Coturnix japonica: one gene and its partners. The protein of the gene in region 1 interacts with the protein of each later gene in a pairwise test. Links are inferred from orthologs where the notes say so. Each region holds a gene or a part of one and is shown on either strand. Other genes may lie near its edges. The genes, in order: NAV2, ING5 and RBM15.

Region 1 (3,654 bases):
CATTAGAAGAGATATAACGTTGTTGGGCTCTTTTCTTACTGTGACTTTTCCTATTCAATGGCATGTTGTGTTTACTGGTACTTAGAGATGAGTGCTGACTTTATTAATCAGTTTAATGATTCTCTTCTGTGAAGCTGCTCAAAAGGAAGATGTGCTTATGAAGGTTCTATTGTAATTCATTATCTGTCCTAGACTGATGCAGAAAAGCATTCCCAGGTCGAGCGGAATTCCTTATGGTCCAGCGATGAAGTCAAGAAATCAGACGGAGGATCTGACAGTGGCATAAAAATGGAGCCAGGGTCTAAATGGAGGCGGAATCCCTCTGATGTGTCTGATGAATCTGATAAAAGCACTTCTGGTAGGAAGAATGCTGTTATTTCGCAGACGGGTTCCTGGCGACGGGGCATGTCGGCTCAGGTTGGCATTACCACACCAAGGACTAAACCTTCAACCACCTCGGGCGCATTAAAGACACCTGGAACAGGTGAGAAAAGGTGTAAGATACAAACAAAAAGGGCACTCAGTGGGGAAACAGTCTGAATACTTTACAGAGGTAGAACCTGAACTTCAGGTAATCTTGTCTTTTTATTTTTAGGTATTTTTTTAAACCTGTACGGCAACTCGTACGTCCACATTTCTGTTTCTCTTCATTTTAAAATGAGTATTTTGTAGTTGTACACCATGAAAGTTGTTTTTTAGACAACCCTGGTCTTAAGCCAAGCTATTTTTTGGGCATAGTGTTAACATATGAGGCTTGAATAATATAATTTTAGCTTTTGAAGTCACGATTAACTTTAAGAATATACAGTGAATGTGGTTGAGGAGAGGGGTTTTTTTAGCCAGTACTAAACCAGCATGCTAATTTATAATAAAACACCTTTTAGTTCTGGGCTTTCTCATAAATTTAGAGTTGATTTTAGCACTTGCAGATGTGTGAATGAAAAGTGATTGAATTTACATAAGCAAGTAATGTAAGTTTAATACCTCTTATTTGATTGTGTGAACAACTGTAACACAAAGAAAGTTGAAGTCACTACTTATTTTCTTGAAAAATACATTATAGGAAAATAACTCTACCTAACACAGCTTCTTTCTGCTGATAAAAAGGGATCAATCTGTAGTAGCTACAGAGCGCTGCTAATCTGTCACTATTACATAAGTTTGTTCTGTTTTTCGTGCTATGAAGGGCAAACATGCTACTTTCTCTGACAAGTCTGCATGTATAACTCATTAGAGTGGCCTTTAAGTTCAGTGCAGACTAGATCATAGTTTTTAACCACACTCTTGTGGCTAGCACGCTTTTGCTTTTCATGCTGCTTTGAGTTTCATCATTTGCTTGCTGTTTTCAAGTCATTAAATATTAGAATTCTTTTTCTATTTTTGTAGGGAAAACTGATGACGCCAAGGTATCAGAAAAGGGTAGACTATCTCCTAAGGCTGGACATGTTAAACGTTCCCCATCAGATGCAGGACGCAGCAGTGGTGATGAATCCAAAAAGCTTCCCACAAGTAACTCTAGAACAACTGCTGCTAATGCTAATGCATTCGGATTTAAGAAACAGAGCGGGTCAGCCGTAGGCATGACTATCATTACGGCCAGTGGGGCAACTATCACCAGTAGATCAGCTACTCTGGGAAAAATCCCAAAGTCATCTGGACTCATGGGTAGGACCGCTGGTCGGAAGACTAGTGTTGATGGCTCACAGAACCAGGATGATGGCTACTTAGCGCTTAGTGCCCGAACTAACCTTCAGTATCGTAGCTTACCCCGGCCCAGTAAATCAAGTAGCAGAAGTGGAGCTGGGAATAGATCAAGCACTAGTAGCATAGACTCCAACATAAGCAGCAAATCAGCTGGGTTGCCTGTCCCTAAAATGAGAGAGCCGGCCAAGGTAATTCTTGGAAGCTCTCTGCCAGGATTAGTCAATCAGACTGATAAAGAGAAAGGGATTTCGTCTGACAACGAAAGCGTGGCCTCATGTAATTCTGTTAAAGTGAACCCTGCATCACAGACTGCTTCTAGTGGAGCTCAAAGTACTCACCAGCAAGGAGCCAAGTACCCTGATGTGGCCTCTCCCACTTTGCGCAGGTAGGCAATAAATTCATTGATTGTGAAATGATGTTAGTTAGAGCTGAATGGTCCAGGACTCTTTGAGCCAGGTCTGGCTGTATTTTGAGGAGCGCTTAGTGTCCTACATGAAGGTCTTTGTATTTAATTTCACATAAACAGTTGGGCTAGTGTTGTAAATACACAGAGCACACTGAGACAAGAGCAAGAGTTTAACATATGGAAAAGAAAAGCAATCTGTCTGGTAGAAGTACGGGCAGTTGTGATACGAGTCTCTGTCATAAGAACTGTTGATTGGACAGGCTGAATAGGTGCATATGGTGTTCATATGACCTGGGCGTACTCAAGAACAGAGGAAGTTCTGCTCAGGGCATACACAGCCATATATCTTCAGGAGCTCTTGGCTAGAAATGCTATAGTCCTCTGCTCTGAGGACAGTCCAGTAGACACCTGCTTTGTAAGATTTCATCCCCAGTATGGCACACCTACTTTGAATAATTTCATCCCCAGTACGATGCGCTGTTGATATGGAAATAGCAAGTCCGTATAGATATGGGTGAGCAGGGTTGATGTTGCGAAAGTATTATTCAGTGATTCAATGAAGAAACACCAAGGATGGATTTGGAACCACAGTAATAGTCTCTGGACTTGAGAATAGGGAGTGAACACAAAGAGATTCAGAAATTTTGCAGTTCTGTATGTCTGATCTATGATCGTTTATTCAACATTGATTTTCTGAACCTAAGATACAGAGTTTAGATATAAAATAGCTTTTGTAACACTCATAATAGCGGGTTATTCAAATACAAAGAAGCCTAAAAGAAATTCCTGTCTAAGCTGGGTTGAAATCTCTTATCTCAGTGGTATTTTTGAACAGGTGTCTTACTTGCCTTCTATTTCTCCATCGTTGCCCCACACGTTACTTTAACATGAAAGCTGAGTTGGGCAGGCATTAATTTCTTGACATCAAAGTCTGATATTAGTGAAAGGTTTCATTAATATAATTTTTCAGTTTAATTTGACATCGAGTAGCTTGTCTGTTTCAAGTTGCAGTGTTTTGCATTTCATTTTGTCTTGACACCATGATACCCATACAGTTACGCTACATCATCCTGCTTGCAGTGATGTGATAAAGCTGCATTCCATCTGAAGCACCAGTGCAAGCATAATGGCTGTGATGGCAGCTTAGGCTAAAGCTTCATAGAGTTGTAAGCTGTTTCTTTTTAGATGAGTGGTTTTCTTTGAAGAGCATTTGGCGAGGGTAATTCCAGATACTTCATTTGTTTTATTCCTAGTTATCTTTAGATTAGCCATGTCTTGTAGGATGTTTAATCTTCATCAGTGACTCCTTTAAAATGAAAAACACAGATAGACCTTTCAATTCTAAGGCATGCTGCATGGCAAATGCAGATTTTCAGTGTTGTATACCTCGGCACATAAATCTGGAAATTCAATTGATTTTTTGATTGCAGATTGATTTATTTTTTGATGAATAGAAAGCCACGTTGCTAGCCATAATTGAAATACTGCATTAGAAACACATTCAACCTCAAAGAGAAGATGCTGATGCTGAATTTCACTGCTCC
Region 2 (2,694 bases), on another chromosome or scaffold:
CGGTTGGGACAAATGCTGATGCTGTGTTGCTCTTATAGAGATCTTGCAGAGTTTTTTTGGTTGTTTTTTTAAACAACAGTGTACTGAATAGTCTTGAATAATATAATTGTGTTCTGTGAAGCAAGGAAGGAGGCATTTCACCTGTCTGTCATGTGTTTTTTTTAAAGGCACTCTGTTAATTCCAATATATTCCATTGGTTAAGTGGCAAGTTGAAAAGTTGTTTTTGTTTGCAGCTCCGAGTTTGCTGACACCATCCTGTCAGTGCATCCCTCAGATGTCCTGGACATGCCTGTGGACCCCAACGAACCCACCTACTGCTTGTGTCACCAGGTGTCCTACGGGGAGATGATTGGCTGTGACAACCCAGACGTAAGCACTTGCTTTATTGCTTTATCGTCTAAATGCACTCTGTATCTTTTGAGACAGACAGTGAAATTCAAGGGGGTTACTTGCTCATTTTATCATCCAAAGTGAATGTAGCTGGTGAAATGCTAAGCATCTCCTCTGTGGATTTTTCCTTTCTTTTGCAGTGCCCGATTGAGTGGTTCCACTTTGCTTGTGTGGACCTCACCACCAAACCAAAAGGGAAATGGTAAGGACATGCAGGTTTTTGACTTCTGTCAGGCTATAGTTTCTCTCCAAAGGAATCACAAAAAGAATTGAAGCCCCATGGTGACCCTTCCCAACAAAGGAACTTCGTTCTTGTGGTCGGAGTTTTACACCATGTTGGGTTTGGGACTATGAAGGAGTGCAGAATTTCATGATAAGCAGGGCAGTCCATGAGCTTAGGCTTTTGTCAGAGTGTACAGCTTACATCTCATGTTTGCATTTGTTGATGTGATTAAGGTTAGGAAAAGAATATTTTCTGTTCTGCTTAGGGGAGCACAATGTAAGACTACAGCAGTTCTTCACCTATTTGTGTGCTATTTTAGAAGGAGTCCTAGGCTTTTTCCGTGCTTGCTTTCTTTTGCAAAGGAAAAAAGCTTTGCTAAACGTTGGCTTTTGCAATTAAAATACCACGCTCTTCAGTTTGCATAACAAAAGCAAAATTTAAAGAGGAAATGCAACGGCAGTACTGCATGGAGTGGGAACAAGTGGTAAGACTTGGTCATTGCATTTCAATCGGATATGGCGGTGGCAGCATGCAGTTGAATGACAGTTGAGTTGTTGAGTCTGCAGACTTTTAAAGACATGCAAATCCTTCTGTTTGGTTCATCTGACTATAAGATGCATGTTAGAATCGAGGTTAAGCAGAAGTGAGCTGCAGCCATTTGCAATCATTGCTGGGGCAGAATATCATTTTTCCTTTGACTGTAGAAGAAGCTGATGTACCAGCCTTGAGAAATTTGGTTGGAATAGCTTGTGGGTGAATGCAATAGAGCCCCTCAGAGCTGTGAGGGGCAGGTGAGCCCCTGTAGCCTTCCAGTGCTGTCCCTTCTGCCCACCAGTGTCCATACGGTTCGTTCCCTCTGCTTAATATTGCTGCATGCCATGTGAAGTGTTGCAGTTGGCTAAAATTAACACCGCCTCCACTCATTTCCAAGTAATGGAAAAGGCTCCCGAGTAATATGTTGTTAATTTTAGGAACTAATTAACAGCCAGGTTTTTTTTTCTCTCTCTCTGTAGGTTTTGTCCACGTTGTGTTCAGGAAAAAAAGAAAAGCAAGAAGTAAAGGGGAATAACCTCCTCTGAGGCGAGAAGAGTTTTAATATATTCCTTCCTTCATGTTGCAATATCATCTTTGATTTTGATTGTGATTTTAAAAGCTGCCCTCCTCCCATTTCTGATACGCTATTTAATTACCCAGCGGCCAGTTGTAATTCCTGTTCTTTTGTAAGAAAGTGACTTTGGGAAGGGAGGAATTTGCCACAGGGATTTTATTTATGTTACTCTGGCACTGCACTGACATCAGTGTTACTCCGAAGTGCTAGAACAGCCCATAGTCTGCTTGTGTTTTAGGAGTCTGTTAAACCCTGAGAGGCACTGCAGGACATTGAGATACCCAGCCTTCGGTGTGATGCTGCCTTCGGTGTGATGCTACCATCGCTGAAGTCATTCAGACCTGGAGCTTAGCATGGCAGGAAAAGCAATTCTCTCTCGTGCAGCCTACAGGAAAGGATTATCTCCATTGCTCTGGTGTGATGCCCCTTTGTTGTGCAGTTTTGTAGTACAGAGAGGATCGAAAAAGCTGATTAGCTGCTCCCAGTGGCTGTTTCCTCAGAGCCAAATGCTGTGCTTAGTATTGGCAGGATGAGTACGGGAGAGAGAGAGAGAGAAGACCATCCTTAGTATCTTCTCCTTTGGGGGAATTTATTCTGTCTAACTTTACACTGCCATTCTTTTACTTGGTTTTGCTCATATCCACAGCCTCAACAGAAGCAAGCTGTGGCTTTTAACCTCCTCGTGTCTTCTGGAACAAAACCTTTAAATATCAAAGGGGTTTTCCTGCAGTGCTGACAGTAGTACTGAGAGAGCAAGTTACCTTTCCTGTCAGTTTTTGTTGCTTTAAAAATGAACTTTAAGTGTGTTACTGTGAAGTTGATACCCAGAGTATTGTGGCAGGGGGTCCGATTTATCCATGCAGTAAGATGAAGGCTTGATGTTCTTATATCTCAAGCTTTAAGGGGAGATTCTGTTAGAGCAGTGTGTACATGCCAGTGATGATGCAGCAAAGCTGAAGGGCGGCTGTGTGG
Region 3 (3,754 bases), on another chromosome or scaffold:
CCAGGTAATTAATGAACCCAAACATCCCCCCAGGTAATGAACGCTAAATACCCCCAGGTATTATGAACGCCCAAAACCCCCCCGGTAAATTAATGAACCCAAATATCCCCATATAATGAACCCAAACACCCCTCAGGTAATTAATGAACCCAAATATCCCCCAGGTAAATTAATGAACCCAAACATCCCCCAGGTAATGAACCTAAATACCCCCCAGGTAATTAATGAACCCAAATATCCCCCATATAATGAACCCAAACACCCCCCAGGTAATTAATGAACCCAAATATCCCCCATATAATGAACCCAAACACCCCCCAGGTAATTAATGAACCCCCAAACCCCCCAGGTAATTAATGAACCCAAATATCCCCCATGTAATTAATGAACCCAATCACCCCCCATATAATGAACCCAAACACCCCCCCCATAATGAACCCCCAAACCCTCCAGGTAATTAATTAACCCAAACACCCCCCATGTAATTAATGAACCCAATCACCCCCCAGGTAATTAATGAACACCAACACCCCTCCATGTAATTAAGGAACCCAAACACCCCCAGGTAATTAACCCAAATACCCCCAGGTAATTAACGAACCCAATCACCCCCCATGTAATTAAGGAACCCAATCACCCCCCAGGTAATTAACGAACCCAATCACCCCCACGTAATTAATGAACCCAATCAGCCCCCATATAATGAACCCAAACACCCTCCATGTAATTAATGAACCCCAACACCCACCAGGAGACCAATCAAAATCAAAGCGCGCTTGACTGACAGCCATATTAGCCAATCCGCAAGCTCCTACCCGCATCCAATCGGGTGCTTAGGGAGATTTTCTCGTCCAATGGTAAACGAAGAGCGGAGCGTGGGCAGCATCCCGCGCTTCTGCAGGAGTGGCATTGGCTTCAACCAATCAGAACAAGGCAGACCAGGTTGGCAGTGACCAATGGGAAAAGGGGGCGGGTAAAGCGCTGCTCGCGAGAATTTGAGCGGGACAACGGGAACCCGCGGACCAATGGGGAGCAGGGGCGAGATAACTGGCAGGTGAAAGGACCAATTGGAAGGAGGAGAGAGTTTCGCCCAATGACCAATGGGAAAAAGGCAGAGCCGCTCCTAGTGACAGGAGAGCTGGACCAATCAGAAGGCCGCGCCCTTTCTAACTATCCAATGAGACAGCGGGGCGGGGCGGATGGGGGGCGGCTCTTCCCGGCGCGCGAGGCCGGCCCATAGACAGACATCTCCCTCAGCCAATAGGAACGAGGATCGGCGGGGCGGTGGGGCGGGATTTCCGCCCGGCGGGAGAGAGAGGGTGGGGTGAGGCTGCGAGCGGCCAATGGGCGCCGAGGGGGCGGGGTCGGCGGCGGCCGCGGCTTCCAAGATGGCGGCGGATGCGTGAGCGCGGCGGTCGGTCCGTCGGTGAGGCCGCCGGGGCGCAGGGCCGGGCGGGAGGCGGCCCCGCCGGGCACCGCCATGAAAGGCAAGGAGCGCTCCCCCGCCAAAGCCAAGCGGTCTCGGGGCGGAGGGGGCGGCGAGGACTCGGCCTCATCCTCCTCCTCAACGCGAGAGCGGAGCAGCAAGAAGCCCAGCGGCTCCGGCGGCGGCTCCAACGGCGGCAAAGCGGCGGCGGCGGCTTCGAACGATAACAACAGCGGGAGGCGGGGCCCGCACCAGGACAAGGCCGCACGGACCGAGAGCGGGGCGGCCACGGGCACGGGAGGGCGGCACGGGTACGGCGGGAAGAGCACGGAGCCGTCACGGAGCAGCAGCAGCCGCGGGGGTGAGTCCCGGACGGTTGCGGCCCAGTCGTCGTCGTCTGACAGCGGGGAGTACAAGACACTGAAGATCAGCGAGCTGGGCTCGGCTCTGAGCGACGAGGCGGTGGAGGACGGGCTGTTCCATGAGTTCAAACGATTCGGAGATGTGAGTGTTAAAATCAGTCGCCTCCCGCCCGGTACCGGCGCTGCGGATGAACGTGTGGCTTTCGTTAACTTCCGACGGCCTGAAGATGCACGAGCCGCTAAACACGCCCGTGGTCGCCTCGTGCTGTACGACCGGCCGCTGAAGATCGAGGCCGTCTACGTGGGGAGCGGCGGAGGGAGCAGCAGGAGGAGGAGCAGCCGTTCGCCGGCGCTGCTGGACAAGGAGTCACCCTACGGCACGGCAGCCGTGGGGCTGGCGGCGGCGGCGGCAGCTGTACGGCATCCCGCAGCTGGGGCGACGCAGCGGGCTTTGTCCCCCGCCGGCAGCGGAGGGGCGTTGGGTTACCGGGACTACCGGCTGCAGCAGCTCGCTTTGGGCCGCTTGCCGCCCCCTCCCCCTTTGCCCAGGGAGTTGGAGAGGGAGAGGGACTATGGGGGTTTTTATGAGGCGCGAGTGCGGCCGGCCTATGGGCTGGAAAGGGTGGCCAGCGTGGCGGCTGCTGGGGGATTCCGTGGAGGAGGAGGGGGTGCTGGAGCTGCCAGTGAGGAGGAGATCAGCCCTGAGGATGACCAGAGAGCCAACCGCACGTTGTTCCTGGGCAACCTGGACATCACCGTGAGCGAGACAGATTTACGTCGAGCTTTTGATCGTTTTGGGGTCATTACTGAGGTGGACATCAAAAGGCCGGGGCGCGGGCAGACTAGCACTTATGGGTTTCTTAAGTTTGAGAATCTGGACATGGCGCATCGAGCCAAGCTGGCCATGTCGGGAAAGGTGCTCCTGCGTAACCCTATCAAGATTGGGTATGGTAAAGCCACTCCAACTACCAGGCTCTGGGTGGGTGGCCTCGGGCCTTGGGTGCCCCTTGCCGCCTTGGCCAGGGAGTTTGACCGTTTTGGCACCATTCGTACCATTGATTACCGCAAAGGTGATTCATGGGCCTACATCCAGTATGAGAGCCTGGACGCGGCGCAGGCGGCCTGCACCCACATGCGTGGCTTTCCATTGGGTGGGCCGGATCGCCGCCTCCGCGTTGACTTTGCGGATACCGAGCATCGGTACCAGCAGCCCTACCTGCAGCCCCTGCCTTTGCCCCCTCCTGCTCATTATGAGCTCGTGGCGGAGGCGGCTGCTTTTGGGGCTCACCGGGGGGCCCCACCCGATCCTCTGCGGGGTGCCCGGGACAGGACGCCACCGTTGCTCTATAGAGACCGTGATAGAGACCTTTATCCCGAGACAGAGTGGGTGCCACCCCCACCCCCTGTACGGGACAGGAGTAACCGAGCAGCTGCCTACGACCCACTGGAAAGCCTAGAACGCCGTCGGGATGGTTGGTCCTTAGAGCGGGACCGAGGGGAGCGGGAGTTGGGCAGTAGTAGGGATCAGCCTAGGAAACGGAGGCTGGCTGAGGACGGAGGCCGGCACTTGGATCGCTCTCCGGACAGCGAGCGCTCTTCTTCCTCTCGGAAGCGTCACTGCTTGACCACGACCACACCACCAGACCGCAGCCCTGAGCTCGTCGGGGGGAGGGAGCGTTACAGCAGCGACCCGGAGCGTTCATCGTCTCGCTTGCTCCTCTTGGAGCGGCCCTCTCCCATCCGGGAGTCACGGAGGGGCAGCTTGGAGAGGGGTCAGAACGAAAAGCGTGACCGAAAGAATTCCGCTGAAAGGGAGCGGAAACATCGCACTTCTGCTGCTGCTGCACAGGAGTGCAAAAGCCCGGCCAAAAAGGATGAACGTGCTGCAGAGGGAGGCGGTGGAGGCTCCCGCCTCAAACCTCCACCTCAGAAACAGCAGCAGGACGGAGCATCGCAGGCCGGGGGA

Evidence for each region.
Region 2: the proteins of NAV2 (region 1) and ING5 interact in binary tests that used the Homo sapiens proteins (3 or more experiments, as listed by UniProt). The two-hybrid records come from large-scale screens. The link is inferred for Coturnix japonica from reciprocal best matches to the Homo sapiens genes NAV2 and ING5.
Region 3: the proteins of NAV2 (region 1) and RBM15 interact in binary tests that used the Homo sapiens proteins (3 or more experiments, as listed by UniProt). The two-hybrid records come from large-scale screens. The link is inferred for Coturnix japonica from reciprocal best matches to the Homo sapiens genes NAV2 and RBM15.

The regions. Positions count from the first base shown.
Region 1 is NC_029520.1:1,594,672-1,598,325, forward strand, and holds part of NAV2 (neuron navigator 2), read left to right. Parts: intron 1-192; coding exon 193-484; intron 485-1,386; coding exon 1,387-2,089; intron 2,090-3,654. UniProt on the Homo sapiens protein: Possesses 3' to 5' helicase activity and exonuclease activity. Involved in neuronal development, specifically in the development of different sensory organs.
Region 2 is NC_029524.1:3,638,964-3,641,657, reverse strand, and holds part of ING5 (inhibitor of growth protein 5), read left to right. Parts: intron 1-234; coding exon 235-370; intron 371-531; coding exon 532-593; intron 594-1,627; coding exon 1,628-1,673; 3' UTR 1,674-2,694. UniProt on the Homo sapiens protein: Component of the HBO1 complex, which specifically mediates acetylation of histone H3 at 'Lys-14' (H3K14ac) and, to a lower extent, acetylation of histone H4. Component of the MOZ/MORF complex which has a histone H3 acetyltransferase activity.
Region 3 is NC_029541.1:1,765,628-1,769,381, forward strand, and holds the start of RBM15 (RNA-binding protein 15), read left to right. Parts: upstream 1-1,347; 5' UTR 1,348-1,480; coding exon 1,481-3,754. UniProt on the Homo sapiens protein: RNA-binding protein that acts as a key regulator of N6-methyladenosine (m6A) methylation of RNAs, thereby regulating different processes, such as hematopoietic cell homeostasis, alternative splicing of mRNAs and X chromosome inactivation mediated by Xist RNA.